Sus scrofa: one gene and its partners. The protein of the gene in region 3 interacts with the protein of the main gene of each other region in a pairwise test. Links are inferred from orthologs where the notes say so. Each region holds a gene or a part of one and is shown on either strand. Other genes may lie near its edges. The genes, in order: RAB22A, SUV39H2, APPL2, CRADD and RAB5C.

Region 1 (3,994 bases), on a different chromosome or scaffold from region 3:
TGGCAATGAGATGGAGCGAGGTACCGAGGGCAGGAGGTTTGAGGGGACGGTAGGGGTGGGACAGCGACCATGGTGGTTGAGGAGAAGCAGCAGTTGAGGAAGCAGTAACTTCTCTTTCTCGAGTCCCGTGGTTTGCACGGCAGGTGTGGGGAATGGCCCTGCCCTGGCGGCGCCTGCAGAGTGGGGGCGCCTCTGCAGGCCCCCACACGGAGGCAGAGCGGCGGAAGAAAGGGGAGACGGGAGGAAGGGGGGCTCCGGAGCTCAGGTGTGTGGGGGGTGGTCATGAAGGAGGAAGACACCTGCCGAGGAGAAGGAAGGGGGAGGGGATGAGTGGAAAGCCTCGTATCTGTCTCTTCTGCGGGTGTGAGCCTAGACCACCCAGTGCAGAGAGTGGGACTCCAGGAGGTTAAAGACCCCAGCACCTGTCGGACTAGGGGGGCTGGCAGACAGGGAAGCGGGGATGCCCAGGACCGCGCCCCAGGCCTCCGCATGACTGCCAGAGCTAGACCCTCCGTCTCCCCTCTTCTCGTCTGAGAGCGCACTTCCACCCAAGCCAGCCTTGGGGTGGTCAGCGCTGACGTGGGGTGAGGTGCGTCATTCTCTGAGTCGCCAGCTCTCCCTGCTCTCACTTCCTGTCCATTCGCTTTCCCAGGCAGGTAGTGACACGCAGGCCCTGAGGAGGATGAGTTCACACCTTAAGCGTGTGGACAGACGCAGTTCTCTCTTGAAGGGTCCTGGAAGGCATTTTCACCTCGCAAAGTGAGTGGCTGCGGCACCGTCACGCCTTCGGATGCGTGTGGATGTGCTGTAACATAGCTCCCAATTGGGCGGAACACAATTTCTTTAAATGGGAGAAACTATGTGATCAGGGGTTTGCAGAGCAGCTACTTAGTTTTACCAGCAATAACAAAATACTAAAATCCATGAAACAAAACTTCTCAAGAGAAAGAGTTAATATCACATTTAAACACTCGGGAAAGTTTTCGCAAAGTCAAAAAGCCTATAGCCAATTTCGCTTATTCTAAGAACCAGATACCTGAAAAAAACCCTTACGGTTTGACATTAATTTATCAATTCATCATTACTCCTAGTGCAGGAAGGTGTGAGAAAGGTTCAGAAAGACCATAAACTACTTTTCAGAAAGAACTAAAGCCACCTAAAATTTCTTTCAGTTGACATGCTGGAAAAAAATTATTAGGACCTGTTTTCTTCTGCCTTATTTCAAGATGTAATTGGTGTTATAGTCACAGGCTGAAGGCATTATGTGTATTCTAAAACAAACTTAAACTCATGTTTCCATTTTGAAGTTTTCACGAAATCAAAAGCCAATTTTTCTAAAACCCAGCAATCTGTGAGGGTTTTAAGCCCTTCCTGAGACAAAAGGAACCACTGCCTCGAAATTTACTAGAGTTTAAAATGAGGATGCCGCCCCCTGTGACACATTTTTAATGAGAAAGGACTTTCAATACACCTTTACATGTATATTCAATAAGCTCCATCTCTTACCCTATTGTTGGGTTGATGTTGGGATCAAAGCTGTCTTCCACAAACCGCCACACAATGCTGGATTTACCCACACCTGTATCCTGAAAGAGAATGAGACAGGTGAATCAGAAAAGGTTTACCTGCTTGAAGACACTGAAAACGATCTTGTGCCAAGAGCTGAGGACTTTAGAAAAATCATCCTGAATTTTAGAAGTTAAGGGACACCAAGGAAGTCTTTATAAACATTCAGTGGAGTACTTCGGAGATTTCAAAACGGATTGTAGGAGAGGGGTTTTGAGCTTTTAAGAGACACGAGAACCTTCTGAAAGACCCAAAGTCTCTGCTTAGTGTGAAAAGTGACAAACTCACTTGCTTTCTGACCTGTATAACTCACTCTGAACTCTTGAATTACTTCTGAGTAATCCCTGATATATCCCAGCCCCACCCAATCTGGGAAAGAGGAAAACCAATGGAAATCTTTATCAGTCTTTCAAGCAGCAACTCAGGAGAGCATCAACCTCAGATATGCTCCCAAACAGCAAAGGTGCCTTGACAAGACAGGAAACTTAAGCTGCAAACTAATTTTGGGGCCTCCTGATTTGAATGTCTCCCCCCGCTCCACGAAAAGTAACTCTTCCTGAAGTGTCAGGGGTATCCCACAAGTTCAAAAGACCAAGCTTTGTAAAACCTAAAGGCCTGTTATGGGTTTTACTTTGCAAGACTGGGCCAACTCCTAACTAGTACATGGGTAGGAAACTATTCAAGAGCTGCTCTTAACCTAGATGCAAGGGGAGGCAGGGAGGGCTCTTCATCCTCTGGGGGGCAGGACGACTCCTAGGGCTCCAGACAAGGCGGAAGGTCCCCCGGCCCAGCAAAACCTTCAGGAGGGAGCGGCCCGGTGGGCTGGACGGCCCGGGGGCTGGAGGGTGGGTCCCGGGGCAGGTAGGCGGCGTCCGGCGCGGAGGTTGGGGGAAGGGGCGGGGGGATGTGGGCACGCCCGGGTCCCCGGCCCGCCCGGCCTCCCGCGGCCCTCCTGGCCAGCCGGTCACCACTCACCCCCAGCAGACACACTTTGAGCTCCCTCAGCGCCATGGCCCGGGAGCAAGGGGCGCGGGCCCGCCGCCGCCCTAAGTTGAGGAGGGAGAGGCCCGGCCCAGCACGAGCATCCCCCGGCGCCGCCGCCGCACGGCCTAGCCCCGGCTGCGGGGCGCGTCTAGGCGGCGGCCGCCCGTTCGCCGGCCCTCGGCCCGGCCCGTCCGTCGCCAGCCGCGCGGGGCCCTCCTCAGCAGCCGGGACGGTGCGGCGGGCTCCCGGGCGCCTCCGCTGCCGCCATCTTGGGACGCCAGCCGGGTCACCTGACCTCCCCGCCCACCTCGGCAGCCACCTTCGCCGAGAGGGCGGGGCCGGCCGGCGCCGCGAGGCTGGCGGGGAGGCCCGGGCCCGGGGGCGGGGCCCGAGGCCAGATTCCCCGCCCCTCTCCCGCCGGCCCCGCCCCCTCCCGCCGGCCCCGCCCCCGGGCCCATCCCAAGATGGCGGGTGAGTGGGGCCGGGCTCTTGGGGCGCCCCCTCCCCTCTAGCCGTGATCGCCCCGCGAGGCCGGGGGAGCCCTATCCCGGCCCCGAGCCTGCCTGCCGCAGCCCCCTCGTAACTTCTTGTGTGTCTCTTGGTTTTCAGAAATTCCCCCGGTACTTTGTGGACTTGCCGGATGACTTAGACGATTGTAAGTAACAGTTGGGGCGTCCCCGCCCCTGCCCGGGAACCTCTCACAGAATTCGGGGTGCACTGAACTTGGGGGTGGGACCTACAAACTAGGCTCGGCGCGTTGGGAGCAGAAGAGCGGGACCCCAACTGTCTAGACCACTTGTGGCGGTCCCTCCTCTCTGCGCGGGGCGGCCGAAGATGCGGAGCCCCCTCCCCGCCACCGGGAGGATTTTTGTTGTTGGGACACTTCTGACTTCCTGTCACTTTCTTCCTCCTCCTCCTCCTCGTGCCCCTGCGGCGGCCCTGCGGGGACCGGCGTCCAGAGTCCCGGAGGTGCTGGGCGGGAGGAGGCGTGGCCGCCGTGGGCGTGGGGGAGCGACCCCCCGGGTCTCCGCTTTGCCCTCCCTGGGCACTTCCCCGAGGGCGGGCAGTTGGGAGGCCCGGCTCTCCGGTGGCCGCCGCGGAGTTCTCACGCGTCCTGGCCGCAAGCTCACCTCCGCCTCGTCCAGGGAGCCCCTTGTCGCCCGCCTTTCTCCAGGGGTCTCCTTCTCCTGTCACGTCGTACCCTGTCCTTTAACATCGCTTTAAGGGCAGATGGCTGGGGAAGGTTTTCCTGGACTTGCAAGTTCCTAATTGTGGTGAATGAAGCTTTGCTTTTCCATTCAACAAACATTTCTTGAGCACCTGCTGGTTCTGGGCTGGGCCAGCCCGGCACCCACAAAGATGAACCATTCACCAGGCTGACTCTCAGGGACTCAGGGTCCGGGGAGAGACTTGTAAACAGATAATTACCACGTGGGGGATGCCT
Region 2 (4,077 bases), on a different chromosome or scaffold from region 3:
TGTTCTGCGTTTATTTCCAACATTTCAAACATAAAGGCTGCTTTGAACTAATTTTGTGTTTTACTTAAATTTCTTTTAAAAATCGTTGGTAGACATTAAACAGCTTTCTGCGGAACTTTCGCAATTTACTAGTCTCAGATTTCCGCATCAGATCGTGCAGTACAATTACCATGGACGCAGTGTGTAGAATGGACGGGGGCGGGGTGGGAGTGGAGACCAGTTAGGTCCTAGCAAAGGACCTGTAGGACTTGGCATCTTACAGCCTACCCACAGGCATGGGGCGTAGCCTGGGGGCTCGTCATAAACGCGGAACCTCAGGTTCCAACCCAGACATACCTGATTCGAATCTGCATTTTAACGAGATGCCCAGGGAATTCCCATTACGGCTCAGCGGGTTACTAACCCAACCAGTATTCATGAGGATGTGGTTCAATCCCTGGCCTGCTCAGTGAGTAAAGGATCCCTGTTGCTGCGAAATGTGCTGTAGCTGGAGCTCCGACTTGAGCCCTAGCCTGGGAACTTCCATATGCCCCAGGTGTGGCCCTAAAAAAAGGCAAAACAAACAAAAACACCAGGATGTTCAGATGATTCCTGTACCCATTCGAGTGTGAGAAGCACTGTTCTAGACCAGAGGTTTCAAATTCCACATTTAGAATCACCTGGGGACCTCTAAAAACTCCAATGTTCCGGGTACACCTTTTGCCTATTAAATTTCTGCGAATGGAACCAAAAAAACCCCAAACCTCCAAGGAATCCCAACGTGCAGCCAATTTTGAGAAACTGTGATCTGGAGGAGTAGCCTGGAAGGAAACGTAACAGTGGCTAGTAGGGCTCAGGTGGCTAAGGAACAGGTACGGGAAGGAAACGTACTCTGCACTTTGTAGCTCCGCTCTGCGTTTGAAATTTTGCACGGTGTGTATCAGTAGCACCATGGAAAAGAACTAACAACTGTAGGAAAGCCTGTGGTAAGTGCCTTGAATTAGGCGCTAAACTAGGCAGATCAGGGCAGGTGGCCGCTGACCCAGCCCTACACTCCGGTATTCCGGCCACGGGCTGCTCTCCGGCCAGTTTGCCCCGCCCCTCCGCACACGGGGAGACAACGTGGGGCGCAGGCGCGCTGGCTGTCCCAGACAAGTCGGCCTCGGCTGACGTCAGGACGCCTCGCGGGTTCTAGCCCCCCGCCCCGGCCCCCGAGTCCCGCGCGGGCCGGGCGGGGGCGGGGCGTCGGCCAGCTGAGCTATCCCGTCCGACCGCGCCAGTTTGAATGAAAGCTCCTCAAGATGGCGGCGGCCGGGGCCGAGGCGCGAGGAGGTGAGGGCTGGAGAGCGGCGCCCCGCACTGTCCCCCGTCCTCCAGGCAAACTCCCGAGGCCGGGGAAGCGGGGCCGGGACGCGCGGGCGGGCCGGAGCGCGACGGGACAGGAAGCCTCCTGCCGCGCGGCTGACGCGGCGGCCCCTACACGCGCGCCGCGGGCCCCTCCCTGCCCCGGGCCCCTGACCCTCCTCGCGGCTCGGCCCGCCCGCGGCCCGCAGTCTCCTCCCGCGCCCGGCCCCCGCGAGGCCAGGCCCGCACGCCCCGCTGCCGGCTCGCGGACTCGGCGGTCTGGGTCCCGCTGCCGTTCGGGCCCGAGATGGGCCCCGGCCCGGCCGCGGTGCGGAGGCGTTCGAACGGCTCCGGCGGATCCCTGCGCGGCTCGAGGTCCGTGGGCACACGGGGGGCTCGACTCCTTTGTGCTGCTTTGAGCGGGACGGTTCGCGGTCCGGGCCGGTTTTTGAACTGGGGAGCGGGAGGCCTCCGGTGGTGTAGGTGTGACCTCAGTATCCGAGGAGAGGAGTAGTCGGGGCGGAGGTGTGGAGGCTGAGAAAGGAAAGAAGTGAGGGTACACCCCATTTTGGACTTACTGGGGGGCTTCCGCTCCCAGTTGGGAACATCCCAGGAAGTGGGTCTCGGAGGTTGTGGCCTCCGGCTCATGGGGAAGAGTTCTCCCCGGCGGGAGCTTGCGTGGGAATTAATGAGGTGGACGCCAAGGAGCTCGGTGCTGAACGTGTATTTGTGCGCGCGCTGAAAGACTGGAACTTTCAATGCCTTCTGGAACCTGAAAGGTGTTTCCAGCACTGCGCTTCTCGGCATAGATCGTGGACTCACTGCCCCCCAGCGTGTCTGCCACTAGGGGTTAGTGTGAACTCAAGTTTTGGGGGTGGTCGCGAAACGTTTAATCTTATAAAGGAGTTCTTTCCCTATCTTATTAGAGGCGATCCGAATTGTTACCAGGAGTTTGCAGGTTTTTTAGGTTCCAGTCGTTCTCAAACATAGCATTTCTGTCGAGGCTTGTGTCTTGAATCTGCATAGTACTCCGACTAGATAACAATGGTAGGAACAGCAGACAAACATACCTTGGGTAGATAATCCAGAGGAAGGTCCTTTGCATGCCATCAGCATAAGGAGGTTATCTTGACGCAAAACTTCCTGAAGCTTTTTCAGTGAAAGGATTTAAAGGGTCGTTTCTGTTCTGCCAAATTCCCCTACGTCCAAGCCAACACTCCAAAACAAGCACACTCTTAGCCCTAAATTTTGAAGAGAACAATTCCTTTCACTTTCTTGGTCTGGAATTACGAACCCTACTTCACGGTTCCTGACGGTGAGGTGCCTGTGTGAGTTGGGGAGGGTGAGGACGTAGTAAGAACAGCTGTGTTCTCTCTTCCCTGGAAATTACTTCAAAACAAAAGGTTATCACAACTACCTTGGAGAGCTACCAAGTAAAGCTTGCGTTTACTGATGGATTTTGTTTGGTAATCCCAGTTTACTCCAACCCTCACTCCTTTCTTCCCCCCCCCCCCCCCGCAGTGAATCTGAAACCTAGAAACAGAGAAACTTCTCTAAAGCCAGCCTCAGGGAATCTGGGGCAAAACCCCCTGATCCTCCCTAGTGCTTCTCATAGTCTCATAGCCATAAAACCAAGTTTATGACATCAATTTGTGTTAACATTTTAGGTGCAGTGGGTAGCATGCTATTTACAGGAATTTGAGGGTAAAATCTTCCTCAGCACAGTTAGTTTCTAGCTTCCATTCGTTTCTAGCATACTCTTGATTATGAGTATGTCTGCTTTTCTTCAAGCTTGGTGTATGGATTATTTAAATTGATACTCTGTATTGTCATTCTCGGCTTTAAAAACAATACAGGAATTGAATATTAGAAAACTCAATATACTGTCCATTATTTTATTATAATTCTTGGGCTTATTTACCTTGATAATAATATATTGCAGCCTGGGCAAAACTGGAGTTAAAACTTCATGCAGCCTTCCAAAGTGGGGAAAGTAGGCCATATGATGTATGAGTAACTAAAGAATTATATTTCAATTAGGTTTTATTTCTTATTGTTCAGCTAGGAGAAAGGGGGAACGTTACTTTTAACAATAGACGATAATTTTAAAATATATTTAAGATGTATTTATAGTGATGATTAGTATGTCCTTGAGATCTACATTTTTATTAAAACAGCACTTCTCTGTAGAATACAATGGAAAAGTAAAAAATATCTCTACCTTTGCATTTATATGTAATTTAAAAAAAATTTATTGGTGCTTAGTTGACTTACAATGTTGTGTTAGTTTCAGGTGTACAGCAAGTGAATCAGTCATAAATAGAGCCATTCTTTTTTCCCATTAAGGTTATTACAAACCATTGAGTAGATTTTCCTGTGCTATACAGTAGATTCTCATTAATCATCTGTTTTCTACAGTAGTGTGTGTATGTTACTCCCACCCTCCCAATTCTTCCCTTCCCCCCAATGGTTTCACCTATAGTAACCTTAAGATTGGTTTTGAAATCTGTGAGTTTGTTTCTGTTTTATAAATTAAGTTCTTTTGTGTCATTTTTTAATTAGATTCCACATATAATGCATGTAATTTTATGAAAGCTTACAGACATGAAACATTTTGTTCAGGTGGCCTAGTAGAAACTAATTGACATCAACTAAACATGTTAGGGTAGAGACCCATGAGAAAATCCAAGAAGACCGATTTACCAAAATAGTTCTTTAATGGTTAACTTTTTCTTAAAGACATGTAAATGATTT
Region 3 (3,530 bases):
CCCTTCATTTAACTACACAAGTTAATGCTATTAGGTCCAATTATAAGACAAGCTTGATTATAAATACACAATTTTCAGAATGACAGGCACTTAAAGCTAAGTAAAATACAAAAATAGATATTAATAGGAAATATTTAGTGTTTATCAAATTATAAATCTAGGCTTTTACCATTTTTTAAAAAAGGATACTGGAAACTGAAAAGAGATGATGAAATAAAGTGAACAATGCCTTTTTTTCATAGCTTTCATTCTGAGCGCTGAACAGTGCAATCTAAGAAAAAGACTTACCACAAAGCACCTAAAATAACATTTGCAGATGGGTATGTTGTCAACCATTGCTTACTGTTTCCCTCCCAAGTTTCAGTATCAAGGCATCAAGAGTACATTCCACAAGTGATTGTCAGCATTCTGAAACCAGGTGGTGTGCCTGCGTTAGAGAAGTTGAAAACCCTTAAGGAGGCAGTTCTCCTTCCTGGGTGCTCTTCCCCCAAAGGCACAGCAAGAAAGTTATGCTTCAGATTCTGCGCCTCTATTTTCACTTGAACTTCCATCACTGTCATCTGGCTGATCGTTTAACAGTACATATTTTCCATCATTGGTTAGTGGTATGGACAGCATTAGTTGAGCCAATGCTTCTGGATCCTGAAGTTATGGGAGTTTAAGAGGAAGAAAAGAAACGCTTAAAATGCACTTAAAACCGCTTTGGCTTGGCTGTCACTATGTTCTGTAACCTAGCTTCACTCCTGATTTTTGTCTATGGGTGCCTTCAAGTAGGTCCTGCATCTCAAAAAAAAATCCTCTTCCAGAAACTAGGCTAAGGTTTTAACTCTCAGCCAAAACATCATTTACAGTCAATTCAGAATCATCTTCCTGGAGAGTCCAGGGAAGAACTTCCTTAACAACCCCGTTGTCTTTAAACTTCTCTTGTTCCTTTTACTTGATACTGAGAGGTGGCAAACTATGGCCACTTGGCTCATCACTTGTTTTTTATAAAGTTTAAATGGAACACAGCCATGCCAATTTATTTCCATACTATCTAGAGCTGCTTTTGTGTTACAACAGCAGGGCTAAGTAGATGCAACAGAGATGGTTAAGCCTAAAAAGGTTTATTATCTGGCCCATTACTGAAGTTCGCCAACTTTGATCTATACCATAAAATGTGAACTTGCAGTGCTTGCCATTTTTTCCTTATGTTGGTCTTACTCCTTGATCCACCTGCCCCTCCTTGATAGATGATAGTATGATCCCACTAACTCCATCACTATTTGCATTTAAATTAAAATTTTGTTTTATTTTGGCTGTGCCCGAGGCATTCAGAAGTTCCCTAGCCAGGGATCGAACCCATGCCATAGCAGACAATGCCAGATTCTTAATCGACTGTGCCACCAGGGAACTCCTAAAAAAATTTTTTTTAAATCCAGTTCCTTGATCACACTAGCCTCATTCACTCTGCATATTAAAAAGATCAGGAGTTCCCATCGTGGCTCAGTGGTTAACGAATCCAACTAGGAACCATGAGGTTGTGGGTTCAATCCCTGCCCTTGCTCAGTGGATTAATGATCCGGCATTGCCATGAGCTGTGGTGTAGGTTGCAGACGCGGCTCAGATCCCGCGTTGCTGTGGCTCTGGTGTAGGCCAGCAGCTACAGCTCCGATTCAACCCCTAGCCTGGGAACCTCCATATGCCGCGGGAGCGGCCCAAAAAATGGCAAAAAGACAAATAAATAAATAAATAAAAGATCATTTCCATCACTGCAGAAAGTTCTGTTTCATAGTGCAGAACTAGAAGCCCTCCACCCCCAAACCCGGGTAGGAAGTGTGTCTCCCTTGTTTATTGCTCTAATTCCAGGTTTTTTTCTTACACAGACTTTGCTCTCAAAAATTTGTTGGGTAAATGAAAGGCTGTAAACTGCTGAAAAAGAGGTCTAAGAGTCTTCACTTCTAATAAGTTTCTACGTGACGTATATCAATGCTGCTGGACCTGCGACCACTCCGAGGAGCAGGGCCTTAGAGCATTAAGTTTGTACCATCTTAATTTGGAAGAAAGGCAATCTAACCAACAGCAGTAGCAAGCAAAAACAAGACAAAACCAAAAAACCCCAAAACTTGATAAAAGAGCAGGAGTTACAGCAGTGATATTAAGAACTCCAAGTGTTACCAGTGACCATGGAACTAGCTGATCCAAAATGCCTGGTAGTCAGAATGCTTAGAAGAAAATCCCAAACTTGGCCACTCTGCCTAGTTGACTGTCATTTCTCTTTTTGAGTGAAATCTTAATACGCGCATAGAAATCTTTTGAGTAGTCATTAAACCAGCACTAAAATGCACCTTACCTTCTGTACCTCAATGATTTCTTTTCCCAAATTAATAGCATAACATATCTGGAAAAGACAAGAAAGCAGTGTTTGGCAAAGGCAGAAAATAATAATTTTAGAAAAAATGTGATTATGAAAGTACGACGAAGTCACTGTCTGCTCATGTCAACATGGGGACAGAGGACTGAAGGAGACTCAGCACCAGGGCTCTGAACACTAGAGGCCTGGTCTCCTACTGCCAGTTTGTGTGTACAAACAATATGCAGGTTAAGTGAAAAGTTATTAAATCATTTAAAATTCTTAACAGGGTACTTTTCTCCTTTCCCTCTTACCCATATTTAGCCGCTGCATATTCATATACACAGTGGCAAACAAATACTTTCTGAAATAAGGATTGGTTCATTTTGATTACTTCTAAGTAGTGAATGCAGCCATGAAGTATTTCATATTAAAGAAGGGAATAGTTTAGATACACTCTCCTGACATCTGCTTCCTTGGTTTGCTCACTGAGAATAAATTTTCTCCATTGTAACATCTGCTTTGTTTTTTTTTTTTTTAAAAAAAACAAACAAATTTAAGAACTGCTTTTAACACTTCCCTAGTATCTCTGCTAAACAATTCTACTTCATCTTTAAAGTTCTTCATTCACTCTATTTTGGTTGATATGTATTTTCCAGAAGGAAATTTTACTCTAGTCAGTTTTCAATCAATGGGACCTTCCTAGAAGGTATTATTATCTAAACTTCTCAATGGAGACCTGCGGAACAGCCAACTGAATATCTAAGGGAGTCATGCAAAATAACTCTTTAAATGTCTTTGGACTGAGATATCATGGAACATTGAAGGTGAAGAAAATAACAAGACCTTTTCCCCTTCTGAGTTGCTTTCAAAAACATATGTGCTCAGCGACTCTCCGCCTGTGGATTCAGGCATGCGCACCACAAAGCCAACCAGCCTTTTATTTTCTTGATGAGCAGCAAACTGAGTGACACTGGTAAGTTCGAACTAGAAAAAATAAGAATATACTGAATACCACACAACAAGCTGGAATTGAAAAAGACAAGGTCATTCTCCACAGAGAAAGTCATGAAAAAAGTGTTTTAGTGACATTTAATTTGCCAAACAAAATTATTAAGTGCCTACTTTGTGTTTAAGGTGACTACAAAGGTGAATTAATCACTAAAATTAGCATGCATGAAGGTACTTACATTGGCCC
Region 4 (4,224 bases), about 10 Mb from region 3:
TCGACCCCTAGCCTGGGAATCTCCATATGCCACGGGTGCGGCCCTAAAAATGACAAAAAAAAAAAAAAAAAAAAAAGCAAGTAAATTTTTTTTTTTTTTTTTGGCCAGTTCAGTTTTCTGCTCCTCAATCTCCGTAAAAAGTAGAAAGCATGAGAGGTGTTAAGAGGGAACAAGTGTTTCCTATCACATCTCCTTCCGACACAAGCCAGGCTGATAACCCTAGGACGGTTTCTCTTTTTCATAGCTTCCAACGTTCCTTCAAATCAAAAGGAGCCATCCCTCCCCCAAAGCACTGTCCACACCAAATTAAACACTCCAGGTGTCCAAACAAAGCCCACCTGAAAGGAAGACTTTAAATCAACAGCCTTTAAAAACAAACAAAGCCAGCCTTCCAAATAATCCCCTTTGGCCACGCAGGGTGGGCCATGGAGCAGGTGCAAGGCGTGCCTTCCTAGACGCTGTCTCCTCCTTCATGAGTCTGACCTTTTCCGGCCCGCCGCTCTGGCACCCCTCTGGCACCCCACACATCAGTTATCAGGACGCCTGAAGCCTACTTTCCCATCTGCACTTTCCAAATGGCTCCTGATGCCAAGGGCTGAGACATGACCTGGCTCTCAGAGGAGAACATGCCTCCCAAGGGACCTGCCAACTTTCCCTGGAAGCATTTCTAAACTATCCGCTGCGTTCCCGCCTCACCCTCCCAGCCATGGCCCATTGCGCCTTCCCCCGCTGCACGTCCTAGCTCCACCTCCTCATCTGGTCCCACCAACGCCAGGTGCCTTCAGCACAAACTCCGTACCCATTTTCAGGACAGGCCAACGCCCAGGCAGCCTAAAACCCCAACTTCACATCCAAAGGGCACAATTCCAACACTTTGGGAGCTGGTCTGGAGGGATCATTTTGAGGCCTACCTGCAGGCAGCTCAACTATGGCTTCTTCTCTTGCCTTCTCCAGCTTCTCCCTTACCCAAGGGAATTCCTGCAGGGAATCTAGGAATACATCGAATGCTTTAGGACCCCTGGAAGGTAGGATATCCAGCAGCAGCATTGTTTTCCGAAGGCCTGTAGCTTGAGCTTTAATTTCTTGAACGTGGTTTTCCGTCAAGATCCCTTCCTGGTAAAGATACTGGAGAACCAGCCCCTCTACCAGCACCTCTGCACCCAGCTCCAGGCGAAGGGAGCGAAGGACTTGCTTGTCTCTAGCCTCCATGTGCCCCTGGGAAAAGACAAAAGGTAGCTCAGATCACGGGATGCCTGATGAGCCCCTAAAAAGGCTCTTACAATGCAAACTCCTTAAGGTCAAGGACGTCTCTGAAAATTAGCAGAGTGCCAGGCCACGGTGTTTCATACGCAGCTGTTAAGCCGAGCTGAATTAATTTCCAATGTTCCTGAACGTGATGAACAGCCCTGAGCATGAATCATGCCCTTTGTTTTTGCTCTCTACATAGTGAGGTCCTAGCTCCAGTCTTGTTCCATAAAGAGATTGGGAAAAAAAGTGGATCAGAGACCCTACTTTAAAAGCAATTTTTTTCTGAGGATAACAGAGGAGCATTTCATTTTAGCATGCTTGAGAAGAAACAGTGCTTTTTATTTTAACATTGCCTTCATCAGAGATAACCCCATCACGGCAGAAACTGCTGATATCCATGTGGGTATCCTTTAGACCCAGGGCATGTGCCGAACCTGATCCGCAGTGGGGGTGAGGCCAGAAACCTGTGGGGGTACCATACGTTTAAGAATCTTTTTCACCAAGAGAAAAGGCCTTCAAGGAAAACATTAAACATTCCTGCCCAGTCTACAGTAAACCTTACACCTAATCACAGACTCCAGCCCTTCCCTGGAAGAATTCCAAACCTCCATCACAACACTGCCACGGCCACACATGCATGGGATATTTAATGGGTGTGTTTGTTTCCTTTAAAAGAAAAAAAAAAATGTCCACAGGCCATTGATGGCTTGCTTCCAAGACCACTGCAGCAGTGAACAGAGGGCCAGCCAGGAGAGTAAGTGGCGGAGAGGGGAGGCCGGGGCGGCCGACGGGGCTTCACAACACCCACAGAAAGTACCACCACAGCGGGCGACCCCGAGGGGCGGCAGGTAAGCAGGGCGGTGTGCACTTTGGGCAACTCCTACTCGTTTGGGACTTCGTTTTATTCCTTGCCCTGCCAGCTCAAGCTCTGTGGCATTAACAACAGGAAGAACTACGAAAGATTTTCTAGGCAACCTGACCCACTAAAAAGGGAGTGCTGGGAATGGTCTGCAGGGGAGCCCGAGGGGAGAGCGTCACCCCGTCACCCCGACCCCGCGGGCTCGGGGACGCCGCGAGCAAGTCACGGGGCGGGACGGTGGGGGGGCTTGCAGGGCCCAGGCTGCAGATGCCACGACGCGGGGTCTTTGAGAAAAGATGGATACGGGGGTTCTGGTTTCCTGTTACTTACGTCTGCAAACACGTATCTTTAAAAACAAAACAGAACAAACTGCAACCGGAATCCAGACAGTCAGGGAACCTGTACCATGGGCACCATCTTTGTTGAAGGCAAGAGCCCTGAACAGGAAGTGTTGTAGCCATCTTTGTTAAGGGCAAACACAGGAAGCGCTGTGGCCCTCTTTATTGGTGGCCCGAGTGTGTTCGGATGAAGCCTTTTCCGCCATGTTTGCTGTGGGTAAATACTGAAACCTTCTGGAGATGGAAAACGTACCTTCGCTTAGGAAAGGAGTCACTGGATAATTGTATTTTAACACAGTAACTCCACCAGGGCTTTGTACTCAATTGACGTAATAGATAGTCAGGTTTCGAAAGTTACCTTATCAGGGAGACCTTCCTTGATCACTCTTATTTAAATTTGCAACTTCCTGGAGTTCCTGTAGTGGCGCAGTGGCTAAGGAATCCGACTGGGAACCATGAGGTTGAGGGTTCGATCTCTGGCCTCGCTCAGCGGGTTAAGGATCCGGCGTTGCCCTGACCTGTGGTGTAGGTCGCAGAGGCGGCTGGGATCCCGCGTGACTCTGGCTGTGGCTTAGGACGGTGGCTACAGCTCCGATTACACCCTTAGCCTGGGAACCAACATATGCCGAGGGAGCAGCCCCAGAAAAAGCAAAAAGACAATTAAAAAAATAAATAAAATAAAATTGCAGCTTCCTCAACCATGCCTTTTAAAATTGCAATATTCACCTTCTGCCCTCCCCATCCCTCTTACAGCTTCATTTTATCTGAAGCACATATCACCATCTTACTAAAATTTTTACTTAATCATTCGTTTATCATGTTTCCCAGTCCATCCCCAACCCCTACCCCCCACTAATTGCAGTCATTCCTTTATATCACAAGGGTCTGCCCACAAAGAGTTTACAAGTCAATCAGGTAGGAATTCATTAAAGCAATCCGCGAGCTGTTCTGGACAGAAAGGCATTTGTCATGAGGCATTGAGGACTTTCACGATTATTAGAAAGACTGAAGATCTGAACATGGAAGAATGACTAGTAAACATCGGCAAACTGAATCAGAAATGGAAAGCAATTCTAAACCTCTTTGAAACGTTCTAATTTTTGTAACCACTTTAAAGTGTTACTATACCAATATGCCATTTTACTATGCCAGTGACACTATTTTTACATTGGGTGAAAAGTAGTATAATTAGCATTTTACATATGTGAGGACTGTGGAATCAAAGTGGTCAGGTGTCTTAACCAAAACCTCACAGCTAACAAATAGCAAAACCTGAGTTCATTCGCTCCGTCTGATTTCATGCTCTTTCCAGTATAGAGAACATCTCACATCCCTGTATGGTGAAAAGTCTGCTCTTCTAATGACAGAAAAATGCTAGTAAATAATTGGTGCCACCTCTACTCTTGATACTCTTGAGTAACAGGTATTGTCTCCACTCTCCTCTTCTTCTTTTGTTCTTTTGCTGTTCTTTTCTCAGAGAGTCTCCTTCTGTTTATGGACAGGTGTTAGCAACATTCCAGATAAAATGCAGAGTTCTTCTGACAATGCCAATAGCTGAGGTTACTGACTTTGGGGGGAGGAAAAAAAATTATTTTTTCCAACTGTAAAATTTGATAATTTTCAAACATATGATAAGGCTGAAACAATTATTAACACCACCAACTAAAAAAACCCATATAAAACTACCTATTTTTAAAACATGCCTAGAGTTCCCATCATGGCGCAGTGGTTAAGGAATCCGACTAGGAACCATGAGGTTGCGGGTTCGGTCCCTACCCT
Region 5 (2,784 bases), on a different chromosome or scaffold from region 3:
CCCTGAGAGACCAGGGATCAGACGGCGTGGACCTGGTGTGGGGCTGCCGTCTGGGCCATATGACCAGTCCAAGGTTCCAGAGGTCATTGGTGTTCCTTCTTCTTCAGGGGAGAAGATGAGAGGACCCATTCCCTCACCAGCCTAGCAGAGACGAATCAAAGAACCCCAGAGAGGGTGTTTCTGGTGTTCAGAGACCGTTTCCAAATACAGACTGCTCATCGGCCCAATATAATCTGGAGGGGATGGGGAAGAGGGAGATGCGGACCCTCAGCTTCAAACTAGGTGCGACTCAGGCCCAGCTCACTCTTACCCCCTCCACCCCACCAGAGCTGGTTAACAGCTGGCCTCTTTCTCTTGGTTGCCATGACCACCACCATCCCCTCACTTGAGAAGAAGAAAGCTTTTGTTTAATAAGATTTAGAGGTTCATTTTAAATTAACTTCAAGTAAGACAGAAAGGATATGGCCTCATAAAACTCTGCCAGAGAAAGACAAGAAAGACAAGCGGGAGGTCGATCGATCGGCTGACTATATTGACAAGATACTGATTGGTTACATGTTGAAGAAAACATACAATACAAAATACAGAAAAAGTTGGTTCCATCCCCTCCCACTCCCCCCCTTACCCGCCCCCCCCCAATACTCATCATCGTGATTTGGTCAGAACAGGGCTCAGAGCCAGAGGTCAGGGTGACCAAGGACGAGGGGGAAGGGGGCTGTGGGCAATGGGTTCGTGGCTGTCACAATAATGCTGTGGTAATGCTGTGGGTTCTCTCCCAGCTGTGAGTCAGGGGGTGAGGGGGCGCCGCAGCCTGATGACAGCCAGCTGAGGGGAGAGCGGCCCCTCCCTTCCCTAACCCCAGGGCCTGCCCCGCCACCCGGAACCAAGCGCACTCCAAACACAGTAAGGATATGGATGCTCCTGCTGAGCCCGCTAATCAGCAAGAGGGAAAGAAGGGGAACTGCTCCAACCCCCACCTCCCCATACACTAGGGTTGGGGCAACGGGGGCACGTGGCTACTACCGGCAGAGGAAGAGTGGGAGAGCAGTAGAAAGGGCAGGAAGTGGGAAGAGCAGATCATATATATTAAAAAAGTGACTTAAGACTTAAAATTGAATTAGTATTTGTACAGAAAGGTGCAGGTGGAATAACTCACTCCGGCCTATGATCAAAATGATATGGAGAAATTACGGTGGACCCCTCCCTCTGCCCCCCCTAGTGGTGGCCCGAGTCGTTAAGTGCGATTGGTTAGAGTGGATTCCAGTCGGGTCGTTGAGGCGGAGGAGGTGGGGGCAATGGGCAGGCAAGGGGGGCTCAGTTGCTGCAGCACTGGCTCCGGCTGGCGGGGTTGTTCTCCTGGAGGTCCACACCTCGGTTCCGGCCCGGAGCACCAGCTGCATTCTGGGGCTCGTTCTTGGGAAGCTTCTTGGCTGTATGGGAGAGGAGGGGGGAAGGTGCGTGTCTGTAAGGGCACCCTACTGTCCCTCAGGTCCACGTGGGTACCACCCAATCCGTGATAGCCAATATACCGGCAGCTTCGCTTCTATAAGCCTGGCACGCTCTGGGTCTTTCAGGAAACTGAGGCAAAGAGGGGCTACAAAACTTGCTCAGGACCACAGCGCTAACAAGTGGCAGAGATTCAAGGCCACACAGGATGACTCCAGAGCCAAATGAACTTAAAAAGGAAAAAATCCTGGAGTTCCCGTCGTGGCGCAGTGGTTAACGAATCTGACTAGGAACCATGAGGTTGCGGGTTCGGTCCCTGCCCTTGCTCAGTGGGTTAACGATCCAGCGTTGTCGTGAGCTGTGGTGTAGGTTGCAGACGCGGCTCGGATCCTGCGTTGCTGTGGCTCTGGCGTAGGCCTGTGGCTACAGCTCCGATTTGGACCCCTAGCATGGGAACCTCCATATGCCGCGGGAGCGGCCCAAGAAATAGCAAAAAAAAAAAAAAAAAAAAAAAAAAAAAGGAAAAAATCCTAAGAAGCGGATTGGGGATGGAGAGGTAGAATTTTAGGTGGGTGGCACGCTCGGCAGAGGGTCAGGAAGTGAAATGGTGAGACTCTGGCCCAGGCTTGAGACTTCTGGAGGGAACTATCTATATCTTTTTTTTTTTTTTTTTTTTTTTTTTTTACCCACCACCCCCCTGAACTATCTATATCTGAGCGTCAGACGAACAAGAAAACCCCTTCAGCACACTATCAAAAATGGAAAAAGATCTCTTGGTGAACAGACCCCAGATCTGTAGGACCCCACAGACCTACTGTAAAACAGCAGGCAAGTAATATACCCTGCTTGGGGGCGGGGGAGGCATCTTACCTATGGCCATGAAAATTTCATTCACATTCATTGCAGTCTTTGCCGATGTCTCCATGAACAGCAAACTGTTGTCCTCTGCATAGGCTTGTGCTTCCTGATTTGGATGGAGGTGAGAAAGTGGGTGGGAGGCAAACACTGACAGTTGGCAGGGGCTGAAGCCCAGCATAAAAATCCTCCCCAATTACAGTGCCTTCCATCCAACAGAACCATACAGGGGTTTTCAGGCCCAAGGCTCTCTTTCCTGCTCTGAGTTCCCTGTTTCACCTACAGCACCTCTCAGCTCACACAAACTGGCAGATGTTTGACTCAGGTCTCCCTAGGCCCATTCTGCCTTCTTGCTCTTCAAAACCACTAGGCTGGGAAAGACTTCTAGAAAGTTACCCTCAAATACACTTGCACTTTTTTTTTTTTTTTTTTTTTTTGTCTTTTTAGGGCCCCACCCAAGGCATATGGAAGTTACCAGGCTAG

What was found.
Region 1: the proteins of APPL2 (region 3) and RAB22A interact in binary tests that used the Homo sapiens proteins (3 or more experiments, as listed by UniProt). The two-hybrid records come from large-scale screens. The link is inferred for Sus scrofa from reciprocal best matches to the Homo sapiens genes APPL2 and RAB22A.
Region 2: the proteins of APPL2 (region 3) and SUV39H2 interact in binary tests that used the Homo sapiens proteins (3 or more experiments, as listed by UniProt). The link is inferred for Sus scrofa from reciprocal best matches to the Homo sapiens genes APPL2 and SUV39H2.
Region 4: the proteins of APPL2 (region 3) and CRADD interact in binary tests that used the Homo sapiens proteins (3 or more experiments, as listed by UniProt). The two-hybrid records come from large-scale screens. The link is inferred for Sus scrofa from reciprocal best matches to the Homo sapiens genes APPL2 and CRADD.
Region 5: the proteins of APPL2 (region 3) and RAB5C interact in binary tests that used the Homo sapiens proteins (3 or more experiments, as listed by UniProt). The two-hybrid records come from large-scale screens. The link is inferred for Sus scrofa from reciprocal best matches to the Homo sapiens genes APPL2 and RAB5C.

What each region holds. Positions count from the first base shown.
Region 1 is NC_010459.5:58,513,813-58,517,806, reverse strand, and holds the start of RAB22A (ras-related protein Rab-22A), read right to left. Parts: upstream 2,823-3,994; 5' UTR 2,578-2,822; coding exon 2,542-2,577; intron 1,587-2,541; coding exon 1,507-1,586; intron 1-1,506. UniProt on the Homo sapiens protein: Plays a role in endocytosis and intracellular protein transport. Mediates trafficking of TF from early endosomes to recycling endosomes. Required for NGF-mediated endocytosis of NTRK1, and subsequent neurite outgrowth.
Region 2 is NC_010452.4:46,897,092-46,901,168, reverse strand, and holds the start of SUV39H2 (histone-lysine N-methyltransferase SUV39H2), read left to right. Parts: upstream 1-1,275; 5' UTR 1,276-1,280; coding exon of another isoform or gene 1,281-1,311; intron 1,312-1,519; exon of another isoform or gene 1,520-1,698; intron 1,699-4,077. UniProt on the Homo sapiens protein: Histone methyltransferase that specifically trimethylates 'Lys-9' of histone H3 using monomethylated H3 'Lys-9' as substrate.
Region 3 is NC_010447.5:79,408,219-79,411,748, reverse strand, and holds the end of APPL2 (DCC-interacting protein 13-beta), read right to left. Parts: coding exon 3,523-3,530; intron 3,320-3,522; coding exon 3,179-3,319; intron 2,381-3,178; coding exon 2,333-2,380; intron 643-2,332; coding exon 508-642; downstream 1-507. UniProt on the Homo sapiens protein: Multifunctional adapter protein that binds to various membrane receptors, nuclear factors and signaling proteins to regulate many processes, such as cell proliferation, immune response, endosomal trafficking and cell metabolism.
Region 4 is NC_010447.5:89,477,577-89,481,800, forward strand, and holds the start of CRADD (death domain-containing protein CRADD), read right to left. Parts: upstream 2,830-4,224; 5' UTR 2,438-2,829; intron 2,097-2,437; exon of another isoform or gene 1,848-2,096; intron 1,216-1,847; 5' UTR 1,210-1,215; coding exon 912-1,209; intron 1-911. UniProt on the Homo sapiens protein: Adapter protein that associates with PIDD1 and the caspase CASP2 to form the PIDDosome, a complex that activates CASP2 and triggers apoptosis.
Region 5 is NC_010454.4:20,633,679-20,636,462, reverse strand, and holds the end of RAB5C (ras-related protein Rab-5C), read right to left. Parts: intron 2,411-2,784; coding exon 2,317-2,410; intron 1,431-2,316; coding exon 1,315-1,430; 3' UTR 511-1,314; downstream 1-510. UniProt on the Homo sapiens protein: The small GTPases Rab are key regulators of intracellular membrane trafficking, from the formation of transport vesicles to their fusion with membranes.